Linked DNA regions of Elephas maximus indicus. The protein of the gene in region 3 interacts with the protein of the main gene of each other region in a pairwise test. Links are inferred from orthologs where the notes say so. Each region holds a gene or a part of one and is shown on either strand. Other genes may lie near its edges.

Evidence for each region. The genes of interacting proteins can lie anywhere in the genome.
Region 1: the proteins of RINT1 (region 3) and CCDC121 interact in binary tests that used the Homo sapiens proteins (3 or more experiments, as listed by UniProt). The two-hybrid records come from large-scale screens. The link is inferred for Elephas maximus indicus from reciprocal best matches to the Homo sapiens genes RINT1 and CCDC121.
Region 2: the proteins of RINT1 (region 3) and EPC1 interact in binary tests that used the Homo sapiens proteins (3 or more experiments, as listed by UniProt). The two-hybrid records come from large-scale screens. The link is inferred for Elephas maximus indicus from reciprocal best matches to the Homo sapiens genes RINT1 and EPC1.

What each region holds. Positions count from the first base shown.
Region 1 is NC_064830.1:46,146,158-46,153,905, forward strand, and holds the start of CCDC121 (coiled-coil domain-containing protein 121), read right to left. Parts: upstream 3,012-7,748; 5' UTR 2,774-3,011; coding exon 2,442-2,773; intron 1,646-2,441; coding exon 691-1,645; 3' UTR 1-690. Other genes in the region: GPN1 (GPN-loop GTPase 1), read left to right, coding at 3,119-3,229, 3,956-4,049.
Region 2 is NC_064822.1:5,673,084-5,681,037, reverse strand, and holds the start of EPC1 (enhancer of polycomb homolog 1), read left to right. Parts: upstream 1-5,015; 5' UTR 5,016-5,224; coding exon 5,225-5,377; intron 5,378-7,954. Other genes in the region: translation initiation factor IF-2-like, read right to left, coding at 4,665-5,015. UniProt on the Homo sapiens protein: Component of the NuA4 histone acetyltransferase (HAT) complex, a multiprotein complex involved in transcriptional activation of select genes principally by acetylation of nucleosomal histones H4 and H2A.
Region 3 is NC_064826.1:44,103,389-44,110,541, reverse strand, and holds the start of RINT1 (RAD50-interacting protein 1), read left to right. Parts: upstream 1-4,138; 5' UTR 4,139-4,257; coding exon 4,258-4,299; intron 4,300-4,756; coding exon 4,757-4,802; exon of another isoform or gene 4,803-4,913; intron 4,914-7,153. UniProt on the Homo sapiens protein: Involved in regulation of membrane traffic between the Golgi and the endoplasmic reticulum (ER); the function is proposed to depend on its association in the NRZ complex which is believed to play a role in SNARE assembly at the ER.

The sequences.
Region 1 (7,748 bases), on a different chromosome or scaffold from region 3:
CCAAAACAACTGTTGACCTAATGTATGTCCCCTTCCTCCTCTCTTAGTTTCTCAATTTATTCGAAGCTAAAACTGGGGAGGTGGGGTTAGCATTAGACCTAGCACTTAGTGGACTTGCTGTTGAGTACTTTTTGCTTCATGGAAAAAACCACAGAAGCATCTACCGGTCACTGGCATAAACAAACAAAAAAAGGCTTAAAAACACTTTTTGCCTTTGCCTTTGTGTGCTGAGTTGGTCAAAAGGAATGAGGATAAACTGATACCGGGTTATTTACAGAGCTGAAAGAACTATATGAAATCTGAAACACTATCCTTAAAGGTGCTTTCTCTATTAACAAATCTAAGGTAGATGAAATAAATCACAACTTTTCTTCTCACCTCAAGTTGATCTTGAGTGAGTTTGAAGTACAGGGTGTTTGGTAAGCGGCTGGGTATTAGGTTAGGGTCATAACCGTGGAGGTTTGTGGAACATCCTGTTTATTAACAAGAGCTACTTAGAGGAAGGGTTAAGGGAAGCCAGTCACAAATATGAAGCAGTACTGCTGAAAAAAAGCACCCAATCCTTCACACCTACACATCATGATAGACATCTTGCCATAGCAATTAGATCCAAAAAGCTTCTTAACTGGGTTTATGTAGCACCTAAAAGTACTTGCTCCAGCGCTTATTTAATCAGTGTTACTTTAGGAATTATTTGGGATTAATCCTTGATTTGGTGCCTAGGGGAGGGGTCAGTGTGGTCTTTGGAGCATCCTGTCCTTTTAGGCACCAATTATACCTTCCTTGCATTCGTTGCCTTCCCCGGATTAAGCCCTCCAGGTACCACTGTTCTTGCTGCAGTTGCTGTTTCCTGTTTTTTAATTGGCTTTGACAAGCCACCAACTCCTGGGATTGCTGAATTAGCTCCTGTAGATCCTTCTGTAACTGTTGGTTCTCTCTGTTGATGCCACGGTAGAACTCAAGAGTATACTGCTTTGCTGCCAACTCCAAGGCTTGGTTCTTCCTTTTAAGCTCTCTTCTTTTTCTCTTTCCCAACTGGCTTATGTCTGGCTCACTCAGTTGTTTCTCCAGTAGTGCTTTTTCCTGGAGGATCTGGACCTGTACTTCCTGTGTCTTTGCAGCTGTCTCATCTTGGACTTTCCTTTTCTCCTCCTGCAATGCCAGCATTTCTATCTCCTGTTTTTCCTTTAATATTAAAATGTCCTTCATTGCCTTCAGCTGGTGTTTCAGAAGGCTTTGGGTCTTTTCCTTCTGCAAGAGCTCTGCTTTAAGCACTGAAGTTTGTTTCCCATATCTTGAGGTTGCCTCCTGCCTCCGTAGTTCAGTCTCCTCACTTTTTTGTACATAGTTGTTCCACATCTTAATGGGCTGCTTTCTGTACTCCTCAGTCTTGTTGGTCAGGTATTCCAGAATGAATTTGTGTTCAGCCTGGACAAGTAACTTTTCAGTGCATAGCTGCCTGCTTTCCTTCTGTAGCTGTTCCTGCTGGATTTGAGCTTGTTCTATTTGATTGTTCAGGTCCACCACTTCCACCATTGCCTTTTTTTTAAACTTCATTTCAGCCTTTGTTAGCTTCTCTGGCTTGAAAAAAGTATTTATTAGACTAAGATATGGTGGAAGAGCTGTCTCAGGGCCCTCATCAAACCTGAAGGGAGAACAAATGACACATTCCCCTGTTGGTTCTTAATGAAAACTTAGGAAATAATTTTTAAAAAATGCACATTTGTACTTGGACTCATACAAGAAAATATTTTTGAGCACCTAATATGTTCCAAGGAATCCCTGGGTTGTGCAAACGTCTAAGTGCTGGACTACTAACTGGACTACAAACCCACCCAGAGGCACCTGGAAGGATCTGCTTCAGAAAGGTCACACAGCCTTGAAAACCCTGTGGAGCAGTTCTACTCTTGACATGCGTGTGGTCACCAAATGGACTCCATGGCAACTAACAACAACATGTTCCAAGGGAATACATTTAGGGGTAAAGATGAGGGACTATAGTTTACAATGCATTCACTACAACGCTGTGAGGCGTTATCTCAATTTTAAAGAGTAGAAAAGTGGTTCACAGAATATAAGTGACCTGTCAATGTTTGGGGCTCTGGTGGTGCAGTGGTTAAGCGTTTGGCTGCTAACCAAAAGGTCGGCAGTTCAAATCCAGCGGCCGCTCCTTTGGAAACCCTATGGGGCAGTTCTACTCTGCCCTAAAGAGTGGCTATGAGTCGGAATTGGCTCGAAGGCAATCGGCTGGGTTTTTGTCAAAGCTTACACACCTAACAAATGGCAGAGCGTGGGTATAAAACCCAGATCTTATGGCTTACAGCCCGTATCAAGGACCTCAAGAACAGATTGGGTGGCCAAGAATAGGAGTCATCTCGGCTTTTTCACCACGTTTCCGCGATGGCGCTTCCATGAGAGAGAACCTCCCCTTCTCAACTCACGTGCGCCTCGGATCCAACGGTTCATCCTCAAGGTGATGGTGATTGTGCAGTTCACTAAGGGTGATGGTCGAGGGGCAAGCGCTAGTGTCCGGGGTCGGCGACACGCGGGAACGGTATCCAAGCGCGTTAAGTTCTCGCAGTGTCTCCGTTCTGTGCTCAACGAGTCTCGGCGCTGCCCAGCAACCCCGGGGGTGGCGCTCGGCCCCAGTCCAGACCCGTCCGGCCCAGACTTGTTTAACCTCCTCGGCTGCAGGGTAAGCCCCAGCAGCCAGTTCTCCCGTGGCTCTGTTTGCTCCTCCTTGGGGGCCGAAAGTGAGACCCACTCTCCTCATTCTAGTTCTGTGGGAGCCTGCCCCCGCGATCCCGTCTCTTCTCCTTCTCCCGGGGACCAGGGCTTTCCTCTTCCCAGGCCCAACCCTATGAAGGTTAACACCCCTTCTCCTTGCCCCTTCAGCCCGCCTCTCGGTTGCCCAGCGTAACCGCTACTCAGTCACTGTCACTAGTTGGCTCCCGAGCTGGGTCGAGACACAAAGAAGACTGTGAGGCACTTCGCCCCGCCCCCCGTCCTTACTCTTCGAGCCCATTCGACTCTATGCTCATTCCCAGCCCAGAGCGTCGCGGAAGTCTCTCTAGCCACGCGGCGTCTCTGTCGTAGGGTGGGCGGATCTAGAAGAAAGATGGCGACTCCCGTAGCTGTGTCAGAGCCACAGGCTTCGGGTGGTCCTCGGCCCACAGTGTGTCTGTTGGTGTTGGGAATGGCGGGATCTGGAAAAACCACTTTCGTACAGGTGACTTACATGGCTCAGCCGTAATAAGGAGTACGTGAGAGGTTGTGCTGAACGGAAGCCTAATAGATAGGGAAGGAGGTTTCTCGGGCGTTGGAGGATACTCGCGCGTGACTTTCTTGCGCTTCAAATCAGCTCCGGTGTCTTTCTTGGCGACGTATTCTCGGATTCTAGCCTGGGTTAATTAAGGCTCTTTTTTGCTTACTCTCAGTGCTCAGTGCATGCTTCATATAATTTACCACGTTGTACTGGAATTGTCTCACCGATAAAATTGCGAACTTCTGAAAGTCGGGAACTTACAGGAAACTCCAGCAGTTAATACAGTGGTAGCACACAGGCTGTCGGTGAAGATCCGTCAAAGAATTATTAATTGCACGCCTACGATGGTCTAGGCACTGAGAACACAGCGACAATAAGGTTGACAAGGTTCTTGCTTTCATGGAACTAATATTTCAGTGGGGGAGACAGGAACTCCTTCCTCCTCCCCAAGCAATTAAGTGAGCGATGGCGAGTAGTAGAGGATGGTGATAAAGGTAGCATTTGAACTGAGAGCTGAATGTTGGAGGTGAACATAGAGAATGGATATTTCAGTTAGAGGGAAGTGTAGGTGCAAAAGCCTTCAGTCACGGGCAGTAAAGGAATGGAAGTTCTCTCTTCTTCTCTTATCGTCCTTTTTCTCTCTTATCGACCTTTTCCTCTCTCTCCACCCGCCTCCTCATGTCTCTGCAGAGGCTCACTGGACACCTGCATAGCCAAGGCTCTCCACCTTATGTGATCAACCTGGACCCAGCTGTGCATGAAGTTCCTTTTCCTGCCAATATTGGTGAGTGAACTATACCAGAGCTTGAGTGAAATGCCTAAAAGGAAATGGAAAGCCTCAGTCTTCTAGTCTTCAGTGCCTTCATTTTTCTCAATATCTACTGTCATTTTCTTGGATTTGTGAGAGTCTCTATCCAGGCTTCTTTATTCACATTTTCTTTTTGTTTACTCCTTTTCCTAAATTTTTTTGTCTCCTTTCCACTTACCTTTACCTCTCCCCTCTTTCTAACCCTAGTGTGTTAGGCTATTCTTATTTGGGTAGATAAGTGACAGGAAGTCAGTCCTGTTGCTTCTGCACTATAAACCCTTCAGCTGACTCTTAAACATAAACCTTTTCCTTTTAATTTCTTAAAGTTTAGTCAGTATAAGGGTTCTTATGCTACAGTTTTGGAAACGCTGGTGGCATAGTGGTTAAGAGCTATGGCTGCTAACCAAAAGGTCGGCAGTTTGAATCCACCAGGCGCTCTTTGGAAAGTCTATGGGGTAATTCTACTCTGTCCTTTAGGGTCACTGTGAGCTGGAATTGACTCAAAAGGCAATGGGTTTTACAGGGTGCTGTAGCTGACTCGCTTATCTATAGGGATCTTGCTCCCACTTCCAAAGTTTCATGGGAAAATATCTGTATAAATGCATATGTATATTGCTCTGGGAAGAGGTTCCCAATTTTCATCAAATTCTAAGAGGAGCCTGTAACTACAAAAAAGATTAAGAATGAATGTGATCCAGCGTTATGATTCTTGTTAAGATCTGGGCTTCCTGATTTCCAGGCCGTCACTGTGTGCTAATTGATCCCTCCTTGTCTCTGGGTTTTGTTTTTTTTTTTTTTTTTTGGCTCTTCTTAATCCTGATTAAACATACCTCAGAGAAATTATGGGTTTGGTTCCAGACCACTGCAATAAAGTGAACTGCAAGAATTTACTGGTTTCCTAGTGCATATAAAATTTATGTTTACACTGTAGTGTAGTCTGTTAATTGTGCAATAGCATTATGTCTGAAAACACAACGTTCATAACTTAATTAAAAAATATTTTATTGCTTAAAAAATGCTAACCATTATCTGAGCAAGTTTAATCCTTTTGCTGATGGAGGGTCTTGCCTTGATGTTGATGACTGCTGAAGCTTGGGGTGGCAGTGGCAGTTTCTTGAAATAAGAAAACAATGAAGTGTGCTACCTTGATTGACTCTTCCCTTTCATGAAAGATTTCTCTGTAGCACATGATACTGTTTGAGAGCATTTGACCCACAGTGGAACTTCTTACAAAATTGGGGTCAGTCTTCTCAAACCCTGCCGCTGCTTTATCAGCTAAGTTTATGTAGTATTCTAAGTCTTTTGTTGTCGTTTGAACAGTGTTCACAGCATCTTCACCAGGACTAGATTCCGTGTCAAGAAATCACTTTCTTTGCTCATCCATAAGAAGCAACTCCTCATCTGTTAAAGTTTTATCATGAGATTGCAGCACTTCAGTCACATCTTCAGGCGCCCCTTCTAATTCAGTTCCCTTGCTCTTGCCAGCACATCTGCAGTTACTCCCTCCACTGAAGTCTTGAATGCCTTAAAGACATTCATGAAGATCAGAATCAACTTCTCCCAAACTCCTGTTAATGTTAATATTTTGATGGTTTTTTTCCCATGAATCACAAGTGTTATTAATGACATCTAGCATGGTGAATCCTTTCCAGAAGGTTTTCAATATACTTTGCCCAGAACCATCAGAAGAATCATTATCTGCAGCAGCTGTAGCCTTACGAAATGTATTTCTTAAATATAAGACTTAAAAGTCAGAATTACTCCTTGATCCATGGGCTGCAGAATGAATATTGCGTTACCCATTTAAAAAAAAAAAAAAAAAACCATTACTGTCAAGTCGATTTCGACTCATAGTGACCCTATAGGACAGTGTGAAAATGTCCCATAGGGGTTCCAAGTAGCAGCTGGTGGATTTGAACTGCCCACTTTTTGGTTAGCAGCCAAGTGCTTAACCACCGAGCCACTAGGGCTCCAGATGTTATTGTTAGCCGGCCTGAGAACATGAATCTTCTTGGACATCTCCGTCAGAGCTCTTGGGTGACCAGGTGCATTGTCAGTAAGCAGTAATACGTTGAATCTTTCTTTCTGAGCAGTAGGTCTCAACCATGAGCTTAACATACTCAGTAAACCATGTTGTAAACAGATGTGCGGTCATCCAGGCTTTGTTGTTCCATTTATAGAGCACAGGCAGAGTAGGTCTGGCATAATTCCTGAGGGCCCTGGGATTTTTGGAATGGTAAATGAGCACTGGTTTCAACTTAAAGTCCCCAGCTGCCTCAGCCCCTAACGAGAGAGTCAGCCTGTTTTTGAAGCGTTGAAGCCAGGTGCTGACTCCTCTCTTGCTCTGAAGGTCCTAGACGGCATCTTCTTCCAGTGTAAGGCTGTTCCGTCTGCATTGCGAATCCATTGTCTAGTGTAGCCGTCCTCATCAATGATCTCAGCTGGACCTTCCGGATAATGTGCTGCAGCTTCTACCTCAGCGCTTGCTGCTTCACCTAGCACTGTTATGTTATGGAGATGGTTTCCTTCCTTAAACCTCATGAACCAGCCTCTGCTGGCTTCAGACTTTTCTTCTGCAGCTCCCTCACCTCTCTCAGCCTTTACAGAATTGAAGAGTGTTAGGGCCTTGCTCTGGATTAGGCTTTGGCTTAAGGGAATGTTGTGGTTGGTTTGACCTTCTATCCAGACCCCTAAAACTTTCTCCATATCAGCAATAGGGCTGTTCCACTTATCATTCATGTGTTCGCTTTTAGTTTCCTTCAAGAACTTTTCCTTTGCATTCACAACTTGGCTAGCTGTTTGTTGTAAGAAGCCTAGATTTTGGACTGTCTCAGCTTTCGACATGCCTTTGTCACCAAGCTTAATCATTTCTAGCTTTTGATTTAAAGTGAGAGACGTGTGACTCTTCCTTTCACTTAGAGGCCACTGTAGGGCTGTTAATTGGTCTGATTTCAATATTGTTGTATCTCAGGCAATAGGGAGGCCTGAGGAGAGGGGGAGAAATGGGGAAATGGTTGGTGGAGCAGTTAGAACACACACAACATTTATTGATTAAGTTTGCCGTCTTATATGAGCATTGTTTGTGGCGTCCCAAGACAATTAAAATAATAATATCAAAGATCACTGATCACAGATCACTGTAACAGATAGAATAATAATGAAAATGTTTGAAATATTGCAAAGAGTACGAAAATGTGACACAGAGACACAAAGTGAGCAGATGCTGTTGGAAAAATGGTGCCAGTAGACATGCTCACTGCAGCATTGCCACAAGCCTTCAGTTTGTAAAAAAACACAGTATATGTGAAGTGCAGTGAAGTGAGGTATGCATATACTCCAAACATACTAATGAAAGGGAGACTCTGTAGTAAGAGGCAGATATAATTTTTGGAGTAATTTGGGAAAAAAATTGCCTATCTTTCACCTAAAGAATGGAGTTCTAATAGTTGATGGGAGAGGCCTACAGACTGGTAAGAAGATTTAGTTAGCTATTAGTGGACAGACTAGTTTCTTTTTCAAAATAATGTCTGCCTTGCCGTTGTCACCAGTAGACAATTAGTAAGAGATAAACTTTTTTGTTGATTTGGGTCCCTTTTTTCTGTGTGTATGGTCAATGATAAAATAGTTCAATTGTATAAAGCTTCTCACCTTGTCTCAGGCCTTATCTACCACATA
Region 2 (7,954 bases), on a different chromosome or scaffold from region 3:
TGGGGTTGCTATGATTCGGAATCAACTCAGCGGCCATGGGGTTTGGTCCGGTTTATTGAGTATTTACTATAACTTATTGGCTTACAGTTCTGGAGGCTAGGAGTTTAAAATCAAGGTATCAGTCATGTTGATTAATTGCTTCTGAGGGCTCTGAGGAAGAATCTGTTCCATGCCTCTCTCCTCTTTTCTTGCAGTCCTTGGCTTACAGCTATATTACTCTGATTTCTGCCTCCATTGTCATATGGCTGTCTTCCCTCTGTGTGTGTCTCTATGTGTTCCTTCTCCTCTTTTACAAGAACACCACCCAGATTGGATTAGGACCCACTTTACCCCAGTATGACCTCATGTTAGCGTAACTGATAACATCTTCGAAGACTATTTCCTAACAAGGTCATATTCACAGGTACCATGGGTTAGGACTTCAATATACCTTTTTGGGAAACACAATTGAATCCATTAGAACCTGGGTTATATCATTTAATCCTGAAAACATTCCTGCGGAGCAGGATTTTGGTAGCTAGAAGTAGACTGCAATCTGAAGAGAGAGGGGGAGGATAGGGAGAAAGAAATGAATAAAAACCTGGAGGCAAGAAGAGACTCGATGAATTTTGAAGACAGTGATGAGACTTACCAGGTCAAAGCGAAGGGACTGTCTGGGACAATAATGACAAAGATGTCGGTTTGGGAGAAAGTTTGGGAGAGTGAGGCAAAATTATGTGAGGCCTTAACAACCACACCAAAGGATTTTACATTTTATTTAATGAGCAAAACAAAGAGAAATTATACGTCTATGACTTGAGAAAGGAGGATACAGAGTGGAAGTAGAAATTTTGGTACCCGGATTTGGTGGCAGGCATTCTGCTGTAAAACCCCAAGGGCACAGTGTGTTTGCTCATATCCCCAGAACCCACAGCCTCTACCAGTCACTACTGGTTACCACTAGTCATAGTTGCCTACAAACAAACACTTTAAGAAAGGTTTATTGAAGGAATGAATGAATGAAATAGGAATTGGATTGGAGGTTGTTTCTAGGTGTGAAGTGATGAGAGCATGGTCTGTGTTTAAGACAGTGGGCATGGAAATACGTAGAGTCAAATCCTAGAACCATTTTCAAAGAAAAAATAATAGGATTTAGGGGATGGATATAACCTACTGGGCATAAATTAATATTTAGAGCCATATTTTAGGTTTATTATATACAGCAGCAGCGTACTTGCATTTGACACATTGTAAGTTTTTTTTTTTTTTTTTAACAGAAATTTGGTATTTGAAACAAATCACATTTCAAGGGTGAGGCTATTATAAGTAATTATTATCACCATAAAAACTTACGTTTCTTTACTGTCTACTCATATTCCCTCCACCCAACTTCTTAGCAGTTTTACCTCATACCTGGAGAGTTGTCCTTGTCACCCACTGAATGCTGGCCAGAGTAAACCTTCACATCCTCAAACCTACCTGGCAGTTGCCTCCTCCCACTCTCTTGTTCATACAGTTTCTTCCTCCCACGAATACCCTTTCTTCTACCACTTCATTCCCATGTCCAGCTGCCATCCTTCAAAACCAAATCGTATGTCACCTTGTCTGTGAAGTCTAATGAACCCAGCTGGAACCAACAGCTCCCTTTTCTGAACCCCTACAGCACTGCATTTGGTTATCTAGGTATCTCTTTACTAGTATCTTATTTGTATTTCCGAAACGATAGCACTGTGTGTTGCTTAGTTATTCAATAAATATTTGTGGCATGAAATAAAGCTATTTTTAAATACTGCAGATCCCTTCCCAACCAAACAAGAGTTTCCCTTTGAGGAAATATTAGTTCAGTTTTGCAGTAATATACTTTTTTCTTTTTGCAATGTTTAGAATTTCACATCACTTTTGTTTGGTACATTTAGAAAAAGGTAACTTACAGGTTAGGAATAGAAAAGAAAGTTCAAGTGTAAGAAATTGTTCCGTGGGATACAGGAAACAAACAAACAAAAAACTCAACTAAACCCTTTGTTGTCGAGTTGATTTGGACTCATGGTGATCCCATGTGTGCAGAGTAGAACTACATTCTGTAGGGTTTTCAAGGCTGTGATTTTTCAGAAGCAGATGGACAGGCCTTTCTTTTGAGGCACTCTGGGTGGGTTCGAATTACCAACCTTTCTGTTAGTCCAGTGCTTGCTTAACTGTTTGCACTACCCAGGGAGTCCCAGGATAAAGGAAGCTGAAGAAAATTAAACCTGGGCCTTCATTGCTGCACTCCTCTTCCTTAGGAGAGAGGGAAGTGAACTGAACTCATGAGGTCCTTGGGACTCCAGCCTTTGTCTCCTTGGGAACCCAGTAGAATCTGGGAGTTAAAAATCCAGGGCATTGAGAAACTGGATGGAGAACCGATACAAAAACAGGTATCTCTTAGCAGGTGTATTATCTGCAAGGAGAAAAAAAGGAGAAAAAAAGGCAGCTGAAATTGTAAGCGTATCTCTGAACCTTTGTGCAGGGCAAATCTAGACTTTCTAGAGAATAAGGAACTTAGATAATTATTTTAATGAAAGTAAAAGAAATTATTCATTTCCTTGGCTTGCTCATGACTTAAGATCCTATTTTGTTCTATAAAGTCTTCCAATTGTGACTTCTACTATTAGGATTTTAAGCTGGAGAGGAATATTATACTAATTTCAGCCAGTATTTTCTGAGTCGTTAAACCTCGCATCTTGGAAACCCTCTGCGGGCAGTTCTGCTCTGTCCTATACAGTCTCTATGAGGCGGGAACCGACTGGACTGCACACAACAACATTCCATTCCCAGTGCTGGTGGCAATTCTTGAGGTTCCCAGACTTTGACATGCTCTTGTGACCCTGAGCCTTTACAGATGCTGCTTCCCTTGCCTAAGATACCTTTCTTCTCCTCATTTTTTCTTTTTTGGCAAGGTTAACGCATACTTATCCTAAAATTTTTCTCAGATATTATCTTCTCCAAAAGCCTTCCCTGAATGCTTTCATTGGAGCCACTCCCCATGATTTGGGTGCCACTGCAGCCTGTTCCCATGATGGCCTCGGCTTTCCTCATAACATTTACCACATAGTGTGGCAATTGTCATTCACAGGTCTTTCTCCCCCACTGTGCAGGCTCTTACTGGAGCCCTGTGAGTGCCAAGCAATCAGCAGCATACTTGGGAGGCAGTAAGCGCTCCCTAAATACTCACTGAGTGAATGCAGTCTTGGTTTAAGAAATGCAGGTGAAAGTCCTGCCTCACAGGGTGAGTTGTTACTATTGTAATTTTAGAATAATTTTGGAGAACTGCAATCTATGTCTCTCCTTGTCTTCTCCCCACTTCATGGAGTGTAGCTAAAGCAACCTGGAAAATAGCAGTGTGCCTATGTGCCCTAAGCTAATAACAGTTCATTCCAACCCAGCATTTAAGAACACTGATTATTTTTACTATGTGGCCTCCAGGGGAAAAGCAGATTTAAAAAAACACTTTTGTATTTTGGCTAACACTTGAAACTTTGTTGCCAAACGTATCAAATCCACCCCAGCAATCTTTTTTGATTTTAACAACATTCCACTGGAAAGAGGTCTCTGGATACTGGTTTTTGCCATGTGGTGTAATAAAAACCAAATGTCAGCCATCTATCACAGCCATCTACATTTCTTCTAATAATTCAGTTATTCCTATTTGGGGGGGGGGGGACAGGGCAGAAACACTACAAGTCTTTATATGATTCGATTTTATAAACTTTTTCAGAGAACAAATGATAAGAATAAGTGTGAGCCCATGGCTATGTTGAAGCAGCATTATCTTTCGGCACAGAAAACTGGGAGCTGAATATAAAGAATACGCAAAAGTCCACTGCCGTCGAATCGATTTCACACTCATAGCAACCCTATTAGGACAGAGTACAACTGCCCTATAGGGTTTCCAAGGCTGTAAATCTTTGGGGAAGCAGACTGCCACATCTTTCTCCTGCAGAGCAGCTGGTGGGTTCCAAGCCTTGACGGTCAGGTTCGCAGCCGAGCGCTTTAACCACTGCACCACCAAGGCTCCCTATATAGACTTGAAAAGTTTGAAGATCTCGCTTAAAATTTTTCCTGGAGATTAGTGTCCAATAACCATTCCGTTTGCTCTAATTACGACAAAAAAGTTAATATGCAGGATTAAAAAAAAGAAAAAAAACCCACTTGGGACAAGTGTAGGATGCTTACCGTTTTTATGAGCCCAGTGGGTGGGAAACTGACCAATGATTTTATGGGGAGCCTATCAAATAATATAACCCAAAGTTTCATTAGACGTAAAAATAATTGCTAGTACACGTTCATCCAAAGTAACTTTTTGCTCCTAATTTCGTGTGCATTTTTGTTTTAAAGACATAAAAGGCTGGGATAATTAAGATATGCATTCACCCACCCAGCTTAGCATCGGTGCGCATCACTTCTGAAACGCCTTTCAAGCCCCACCGAAAGTGGCTTGGGCATAGCCCTGGGCATCGCCCAGCCCTCGCGCCGGCCGTCGTCGGGGAAAGCGCCCGGGCTGCTGCGATGACAGGTGCCCGAGCCCCCGGACCCCGCGCGGGCGCAGCCCCGGAGGGAGCAGGGCAAAAACAGCCACACGCATTTCTCTCCCCGTTGCCCTTCGAAAAGCCGGGGAGCGGGCGGACACCGGTTTTCCGCACCTTCACCCCTCAGGAAGCAGCGATAGGAGGGCGCGGGCGCGAGACAGCGTGTGCGCGAAAGGGGGCTGAGCAGCGAGAAGTCGGCTCGGACACCTGAGCGTCCCGACGTCCGGCTGTCCCGGCGCGCGGCGGCCCTGTCCGCCTCCCGGGCCGCGGAGGGCGGGGGCCGCGAGCAGCGAGCGCGGGGAGCGAGGCCGGCGGGAGCCGGGGGTTGGCGGGACGCGCGCTCCGTGCCGGCGCCCGGTCTCGAGCCCGCGCCCCCCCCCGCGTGCCCGCGCCGCTGCGCGATGCAGTGTGGGGAATGGCTGGGGTTGGCTGAAGAGCGCACAGTGGAGTTTTAATGTCCGCCATGTTGGCCATGGCGTATTGAAGAGAGCGAGAGAGAGAGGAGCGGAGCGGCACAGACTCCCACCCTCCCGGCTGCTGTTAGTGCCCGGACGGCGGGCTCTGCGCTCCGCCCCTCAAGTCCCCGGCAGCGGTAGGCGAGTGGGGACCGAACCCCCGGTTCTCCATGATCCCGCTGGCCGGGGCCGTTTCCCCAGAGCGGAGAGGTATCTGCTGCGCCTGAGATGAGTAAACTGTCGTTTCGGGCGCGGGCGCTAGACGCCTCGAAGCCGCTGCCGGTTTTCCGCTGTGAGGATCTGCCCGACCTGCACGAATACGCCTCGATAAACCGGGCCGTGCCGCAGATGCCCACCGGAATGGAGAAGGAAGAGGAGTCGGTACGTGTTAACTCCCCTGTCCGACCCACCGCCAGGCCCCGCTCCCTCTGCTGCCTGCGGCGGCGACGGAGCACCATAATCACACAAAATGGCCGCCATCTTCTCCTCCCCGCCGACACTCAGTCGCCGGCCGGGCCCTTACCCCGCCTCCCCCGGCCTCGACCCCCGGCCGCCGCGGCCCGCTAGGGCCTCCTCTAAGGCTAGCCGCCGACACTGGCCACTCGTACCCAGGTCCCGCGGAGTCCGGGGGACCCGAAAGGCACAAAGGGGTCACGTGACGAAGCTGCCGGCAGCCATTTTGTGGTCTTTAGTTCTTGGGTTGGGCCCTTCGCATCCGGAGAGGGGAACGGGTTGGGTGGCGGTGGGGTGCGGCGAGCTGGGAGCCGGGCAGGACCTGCCTGCAGGCCTCTTGGCGGGCCGCTGGGTGGCGCTCTGGGGTCGCCTCGGCCTCGCGCCGCTGCCGCCGCCGGGGCGCGCAGGGCCTGCCACCGCGGGGCGTTTGGTGCCTTCAGCGCTCGTGGGGCTCAGGCCGCGCGTCCGCCAGCGGGGGCCTCGGAAGTGCCGGTGCTGTTGACAGCAGGTCGGTCTGTCGCGGGTATTGCACATCGGCCGCGACGACTTACTTTCCTGGGAGGTTTGACCGACTTGCAGTATTCCCTTTCTGGGACTTTCGCATCCGTCCCTCTCCAGTACCAGTTAGTCGGAGGGGTGATAAACTGCTCCCCCTGACTTTTTCTTTGATCTTTCAGAGTATGTTGCCGATTTGCTTGGGGTACGTGGCTCTTCGAAAGGCTGTAACTTTGTTATTTTTTCTGTAACATGTAAGTTTGCCTGCGTTCTGGTCTCAGCCTAAGGGGAGAAAAGACCCGATTTAAAGTAAATGTCATAGATGTGGATTTCGAAAGAGGGTCATTTCTCATCCATAACTGAGCTGAAAATTAAATCACTTTGTTCACAGACGTCTTAACATAAGGCGATTGAAATGTCTGAAGTGGGTGGGTTTCAGTATTTAAATGACTGTTTACAGCTAATAGACATTTTGCCATATATGTGGCTTTACCGTGTTATGGAAGTTGAGTTCAGACGCAAGGATAATAGAATGTCCCTCTCATTTCCCCCAGATCCTTGACAGTGTAACTTGATGACTTCTAATCCTAAGGAATTGCATACCTTGGTTTTCAGCCATTTAAACAGGGCGCAGTGTATTGACAGTTCAAGGAAGTCAAGGAGTCGCGGATTTGTCTGCTGCAAATTTGTTGTGGAAAATTGTAATGCTTTCATTTGGTACTGTAAGAATTTTAAATGTAGTAATTATGCTCTGTAATGTTTTTGAAAATAAAACTGTTTAAACCATTTGGGTTGTTTAACCTTTTAAAGTAAAATAGTTGTGGCAGTTAAATGTTACTTTTGGGTAGTGTCTTAAATCTAACTTTAAAGATAAGCTAAGCGCTAAGTGTATGTAGTAGTTGAGATTGTCTAGTGCAGTACTGACTTTCAGCACCTTATCTATGAGACAGTACCTCTTTTTTTTTTTTTTTTTGGCTTGTATCAACTTTAGAGTAGAATGGTGCCATTTGTTTATTTTTAAATAAGTGATTTGTTTTTAAAAATTAAAGTACTTGTGACTGCAGAATCTTGTCTTGGTTTTTTGTTTCTAAGTTTTACAGATAATATTTTCAAGATGGGGTGTTGGTGTTACATGGTCTTTGAAATTAATTTCTAGTTTTTGTTTTGCAGCCAAGGGCAGACCCTTGATTAAAGCTGGGTAGCACTACAGTACACTTTAGAAGTTTAGTTTTGTTTCTGGGAATACTTTGAGCAGTCCCAAGAGCTACAATCTAAAATCAGAGCCAAGTTTAACTGAAGCATCAGTGCTTCTTAAATTTACAGGTAATTTTTGCTCACTGAAATAATTTCCACATTTTATAGTGCACTAGATATCATTCCCTGGTGGTGTAGTGATTAAGAGCTTGGTTGTTAACTAAAAGGGCAGCAGTTCAGATCCACCAACTGCTTCTTGGAAACCCTACGGACAGTTCTACTCTGTGTCATATAGGGCCTCTGTGAGTCGGAACCGACTCAACGGCACATAACTGCAACAACAAGACATTTTTTCCATAACACTATCCTTTTCATCATCTGTTTAGAATTTGTTCCACTTTACATCCAACTGAAGCTGTATGACCAGAGAAGCACGTTGTTGTTAGATGCCGTCAAGTTGGTTCCGACCTATAGTGACAGAATGTATAACAAACACTGCCTGGTTCTGCGCCATCCTCACAGTTGTTGGCATGTTTGAACCCATTGTTGCAGCCACTGTGTCAGCCCATCTCATTGAGGATTTTCCTCTTTTTCACTCACCCTCTACCGAGAATGGTGTCCTTCTCCGGAGACTAATCGATCTCTCCTGATAACGTGTCCAAAGTACATGAGACCAAGTGTTGCCATCCTCGATTCTAAGGAGCATTCTGGCTGTACTTCTTCCAAGACAGATTTACTCATTCTCCTGGCAGTCCATGGTATAGTCACTCCTCTTCATCATCAGAATTCAGATGCATCAGTCGTTTATCTTTCTTA
Region 3 (7,153 bases):
TACACACCTTTCTATACATGCCTAGCTGCCCTCCCCCTAATGAGACAGCACACTCCTTCTCTCCACCCTCTATTTTCATGTCCATTAAGTCAGCTTCTGAGCCCCTTTAAAGGCAGAGCTTTTTCTACTAGTGAAACTATTCTTCCCTTTTTAAGATGACTTCAGGAGATATTTTTCGTTTAAGGTTTAAAGATTATTTCAGGGCAATAATTTCATGGGTAGTTTTGGCCCTTTATTGATGGCTTCCACCAGGCATTTAATAATGAAAAAAGAATCACTTTAGGCACTGGTTTGTTTTACATATAATTTCCTTTGATTGCAGCAATCCAAGAGCACCATTGTCCCTCTTCCTCAAATTACCCTGCCTGCTTGACAGGTCCACAAAAGAATCATCTTCTAGAAACCTGATTATAGCAAGTTCTTCTGTGTAAAGAAAAATAAATGTCATTCCTCTTCCCATGCTCTTTAAGACGCATACATTTCCCAACCAAATCCTAGCCCCTAATAGGTTTTACACGTCTAATAATTTTGCCAAATTTCAACCCTGAGTAAACAACCAGTGTGTTAAATCCTTATATTTCTTCTAGGCTTGTTTTTAAAACCTGAGTTTACTTATGGGGATCTGGTCAAAAGAGTCATAGATAATTTGCTCAGACTGGTGGGGTTCTGTACTGCTTTCCTCTGAGACTATTCACCTCAGTTTAAGTACCTCTGATGTTTTTCTGTCCTTAACCTCTGTGCAGTCACGAGTCCTGGGCTTTGGCTAATTCATAGGTTAATATTCCAGTGACAACCCCCGCAGATATTTTTACCATAGCCACACAGTAATAATTCAATCCCAAATTCTTTATTTTTATATGCTTTAGGAAGATACCTTCTCTGGGGTTACAGCCCAATTCCTCATAAATGCATGTAGAGGAAAGAAAGTTCACATTTCTTTGGCCACTAGCTGAGTCCATAGTCAAAACTTACCCTTCTACATTTCAGCCTAAATTGCCTTACACAAGGTCCAAGTTTAGTTTTCTGTTTACCAAAACGGACAAATTGGCGTTTATAGTTAAAATAACAAGAAGTGTTGAAAGCCCCTCCTAATTCCAATTCTTTCTAGTAAATATTTAACAGTTGAATATTCTCCTCAGCTTTGAGTCCATCCTAACAAGTATATTCTGTACAATATTTGGTATTCTCCTTTTAACTCTATACCAGCAGTACAGGTTGCTAAATGCCTATCACATGAAATCTATCTTTTCTTTAGTTCTTATTATCACCTAGTATTCTGTCCTTCTAAGATGCCTTCCCCCACTCCCCGGATAGTACTTAACTGTTCTCTGTGCTCCTTCAGTCATTGTAAACACTAATTTTATATTATTTCCATGTCTATTTCTTTTACTAGAAAGTGAGTTCTTCAGAGGCAAGAATTTGGATTTAGGATTATCTTTTTTTCTCCTTTATTTTTATTAGAGTTCTACATGCCTGTGGTTTAGAGTCAAATGATTCTGTAGAAACCTCATCAGGTTTGCAAAGAAACAGCTGGGACTGCTTCCTCACCTCTTCCCTCACCTGTTTTCCCCTCCTCAAAGGCCGTCATTTCACTTCTTTTAACTGATTGTTTTGTTATTTACCTTTATTTCTCTATATAACATGCTTGTATTGCTATTGCCTGATTTTTCCTTTTTAGGCATTATCTACTGACTTCATTTAATTGAAAATGAGGATTTAGCTCTCCTTTCATTTCCATGCTTCTCATTCCTCCACCTGCTCAATATACCAAAAACCCAAACCCTTGCCTTTGAGTCAATTCCAACTCATAGCGACCCTATAGGACAGAGTAGAACTGCCCCATACAGTTTCCAAGGAGCACTTGGTGGATTTCAACTTCCGACTTTTGGTTAGCAGCCGTAGCTCTTAACCACCAGGGTTTCCGCTCAATATACAGTTAATTATATGGTACTTTTTATTAGATTTGTGTTTGCTTCATGGTGTCTAGGTAAATATTATTCACATCTTAGCTTAAGTACCGCTTTTCATTTCCTGCACAGTTTTTTGTTTTTCCAGTAGTTAATAATAATCTTATTTTCATTTACTTACTCATCCCTAAGCCAAGCCTGAACTCTACAATTGTTTAAACTTCCCTCTCTAGTGATTCAGCTACATGAGGTGTTCTATCAATTTCATCCTTCTGAAGGAGTCTTCTGGAGCCTTCTGACCTGCATCCACCTAGCCTAAAGCTCAGTTGTTGTCATGCCTCTCACTTCCTTTTTCTCTTGTGTTATATCTTCTGTTATTTCCTGTTTTCTTCTTTCTTGGTCTATTTTCTCATTTTATTGTTCTCGTTAGGTGTCATTGAGTTGTTTCCGACTCATAGCAACCCACTGTACAATAGAACAAAACACTGCCCAGTCCTTCACCATCCTCACAATCTTTGCTATGTTTGAGTCCATTGTTCCAGCCACTGTGTCAATCCATCTCGTTAAGGGTCTTCCTCATTTTCGCTGACCCTCTACTTTACCAAGCATGATGTCTTTCTCCAGGGACTGGTCCCTCCTAATAACATGTCCAAACTATGTAAGATGAATTCTCACCATTCTTGCTTCTAAGGAGCATTCTGGCTGTACTTCTTCCAAGACAGGAACAGATTTGTTCGTTCTTCTGGCAGTCCATGGTGTATTCAGTATTTTTCTCCAACACCGTAATTTAAAGGCATCAATTTTTCTTTGGTCTTCCTTACTCATTGACCAGCTTTTGCATTCATTTGAGGCAATTGAAAATACCATCGCTTGGGTCATGTGCACTTTAGTCCTCAAAGTGACATCTTTACTTTTTAATACTTGAAAGAGGTCTTTTGCTGCAGAATTGCCCAATGTGATACGTCGTTTGATTTCTTGACTGCTGCTTCCGTGGGCGTTGAATAAAAAGAACAGGATATATATAGCTATATATATACATATACATGTATATATATTTCGAGGGGGGTCTCTAAATGCTCCTTTACAGATAGTATCCTGTTCTTGTTTAATGATTGCAAGGGTGTCTCGAACCTTTCTTAGAGTACTGGTTTTTTTTTTTTTTTAAGTTTTCTCCTCACAGCGACCTCCACTCACACTCTCAGAGTGGTTTCTGTTTCCTCAAAGGGTTGCTTCCCCAACACCACCCCCCTCCCCCGCCCCGTATGCTTTGATCTCTAGGTTATTGTTACTGTCCTTGTTAGGTGCCATTGAATAGATCACTCATAGCAACGCCATGTGACAGAGTAGAACTGCCCCATAGGGTTTTCTAGGCTGCAATCTTTGTGGGAGCAGACTGCCAGGTCTTTCTCCTAGCGGCTGGGGGAGTTCAAACTACAAACGTTTCAGTTAGCAGCTGAGTGCTTAACTGTTGCACCACCAAGGCTCCTTACCACTTGCCTACTTTCCCTGTTAGTTTGTTTATGAAGTAGTCAAATCCGTGGGTCCCCTCCCTACTCCTGGCTGCTAGGTATCCTCATTGCTAGGTAACTCACCTTCCTCCTCCCTAGCAATGGACAGGTATTTCTTGGGTCTCTGCACTGGACAAAGTGCGTATTAGATGCTGAGTCCTCTTAGTCCATTCAGCTCCCAGGACATTTGCAATCAAATCTGCACCATCCAGGCAGGAAATTGGAGGGTTATCTCTAGGGAATCTGATCTGCCTTAAAAGAAAGAGCCAAAGATACTGACATTGGAGATTCTCCGACTAAACAGCCCAACTAAATAACTGTCCTTTGAAGCTCGTCGCCAACAAGCCTACTCACACTTTCAGAATATCTGATCAGTTCCTTTATTTGTCTATTCTTAAATGTAAGCAGAAAATCAAGGATACCATTTAAAATATAAATTTAAACAACTCTTATTGAATTTATGGTGGGAAGGGAGGGAGGGATATCCTCAAGTATACAAGTAATTAAGGGTCCCAATTAAGTGGGGGGGGGAGGCGCTACCATGGTTGGGGGGATTCTCTGCTTCTCTTGCGAACCTTGGAAGAGGGCAAGCGCCTGCTCTTTGAGTTGCAGGTCCCATCCCTGGCAGGTAGGAGGAGCCCTAGCCCACAGTCGGCGGCTGCGCGGGCAGGGCCTCTCTGGGCCAAGAGGAAGAAACCACAGAGACGACTAGAGGAAGTCGCGGTGACGTACATCCCAGCAGCTGCCGAGGCTGAGCTGGTGTCTCTGTCATCACTGGCCGGAGCAGGACTGCACAGGACACCCTGGCTGTGCATGGAGCTAAGGACGCGCGCACGGGCGGGATGCTCCCAGCAGGCGAGATAGGCGAGCCGCCGGCGGCCCTGGTGAGGCGAACTTGCTGTTCCGGGGAGGGGACATAACCCTCCAAGGGAGGTGTCCCCAGTGTCCCCGGAAAGTTGGCACTGGTGGTCTGGTGAGGTGGCGTAGATCTCCCAGGGGACGTAGTCCCAGTGAGGTGGCCCTTTTGGTCCGGAGAGGTGGTTTCGGCGGCCCGGGGGAGATGGCCCTTGTGATCTCGGTGAAGTGGCCCTTGCCACTCTGATGAGGTGGCCCCAGAGCCCCCGGAGAGGTGTCCCTGGCGGTCCCCTTGAGGTGGCACAGACCTTCCGGGGAGATGGCCCCTTTTGAAGCTGCATCGGATGACCTAAGCCCCTCGGGGAGGCCCCTAAGAAAGGGATCTGGAACCTCTCTCCCGACCAGTGGATGCGCTTTGGGCACCCTGTATCCGTTCCATCCAGTGATGCAGTCTTAATGTATTTGTCACACTTGCTCTCCTTCTAGTGCTGTCCTGAAAGTGGTGACGAAAGGAAGACTATCGAGGAGAAAAGTAAGGAGGCTTCAGACACCTTAGTTCTTTCTATCCAACCCTCTCTCCAAAACTCAACCTCCCAGGGTCTTCATTAGAGAAGGGCTCTTAGCCTGTTGTCTTTTAGATGAGGTATTTTTTTCTCTGCATAATATACTTGCATAATATGCTTGCATAATATTAAATCCCAGTTATCATTATATGTGTATTTTTGCCTTAACTGTCTGAAATTGTAAAACATGGAATGTTTTGGAGAAGAGCACTTCCTGACTCCTTAGTGCAGGGATTGGTGTGGTTTCACTGGAGAATTCTGCCCGTCATACAGAATTTGAAATAATTGGGAGTCTGACTGTCATTCTAACAAGTATCAGCTTGCTGTTGTTGTAGGCATTGTCTTAGATTTTAACTAATAGTGACCCCACGAGACAGAGTAGAACTGCCCTATAGGGTTTTCTAGCCGTAATCTTTATGGAGCAGATCACCAGGTGTTTCTCCTGCAGAGCCCACTGGGTGGGTTCACACTGCCAACTTTTGGGTTAGCAGCCTGGTGCTTAACTTTTGTGCCACCATGGCTCCTCACCAACTCATTAAACATCAGGAATTGAGAGGGGCTAATTTTTTTTTTAATGATCTAGAACAAAGAGCCCTATGGTGCAGTGGTCAAGTGCTTGGCTGCCAACCAAAAGGTGGGCCGTTCATACCCACCAGCCACTTCCCGGCAGAATTATGTGGCAGTATTCCGTAAAATTTACTGCCTCAGAAACCCTATGGGGGAGTTCTACTCTGTACTATAGGGTCTCTATGAGTCAGAATCCACACTAGGGCAACGGGTTTTGGTTTGGAATGATCTAGGAAGGTGCTTTGGCAGTGCAATGTTTAAGAGCTCGGCTATTAACTGAAAGATCTGTGATTCAAACCTACCAGCAGCTTTCTGGGAGAAAAGACCTGGCAATCTAGTCCTGTAAAGATTACAGCCTGGGAAACCCTATGAGGCAATTCTCCTCTGTCCTGTAGGGTAGCTTTGAGTCAGAATCAACCCCACAGCATACAATAACAGCAATGATCTAGGAGCGATGACCACTGCCATCTTAATATTCCCCACTGATATAGTCAGCCTGAGAAGGAAAATTATTAGTATGTAGCACTCCACAATCATAGCTGTCCCAGCTCAAGGTCTTTTTCCTTGAAGGATTTGAGAGTGCCCCATACCTTTTAGACAAACCCTTCACTTTTCTACCTTTGGCCTGTTCAGATGCCTAGGAAGTGTGATACCTGCCGAGCTGTCATTTTAAATTCTGACTGTAGACTTTGTCCTTGTTGCTGCCTTGGTGGCTCTGCCAGCTGATGTCCAGTTGGGAGTGCTCTTTACAGAAAGCAAAGAGAGAGTGAGAAAGAGATTAAAAAAAAAAAAGCCTCCCAAATCACCAGTGTGCCATTTTGAAAAATGTCATTTGACTAAAAATATACTATGTTGCATTTAAATGGTTATACCAAGAGGACATAATTATTTAAAAAAAAAAAAAGTGAATACAGAATTTACTTCCTAAAGTGTAGCAACCTTTACATTTACAAAACATTCCCTTTGCACATAGACCTGCCTCCATTTTTCTGCAGATACATCACACAACTGGTTCTGGTTTTATGTAAGGTAAATTTAAAAAGGAGGTGGTGTGATTTCTCTATATAATTGTGATGGATTTCTATATTAATAAAGTTTGGGTGCATACCAGCCAATTCTGCTCATACTTGAAGGAGGAGAAAATAAGAATGTTGGATTGAGTTAGGTAAAATGGATTTTAGTTCTATTTCCAACCTTTAAGTGTAGACTAGAGCAAATGTTATAATCTATGTAATAGTTGGGAAGTTGAGGCATAGACTTATGTTTTGTTTCTCCTACTTACTAGTGGGCTACTGGTTCTCACACATGAGAACAAGCTTTTAATTGCTTAAAAGTTAAGGAAAATTTGTTTTCTTAGAGGGGAGGATACCCAGTTCAATAAACACACTGGTATATGTTCTGATAATATAGGCATAAATAGTTGAACAGTATCTGATATTTACATTATTCATTTAGGCAAAGTTTTATTCCGATATTCTTATTTTCATTTTATCAGAAGCACCAGTTGTTTAGGAATGAGGTTGATTATACCTACTTGCCTTTCATTGCTATTTTCTGAAAACTTTGCGTTTTTGGTCAAGGGTGAACCTCTATAAGGGATAGCTCAAAAATATTTCTTACTTAATTATATCTTAATAAGCATCCTGGATAGTGGGAGAACTTACAGAAACTTTTGGGGTGAAATATAGGAAATGATCAAATTTCAGGCATAGAGTAAGAAGAAGACTATTTGGGAAGCTTTACATACTAAATG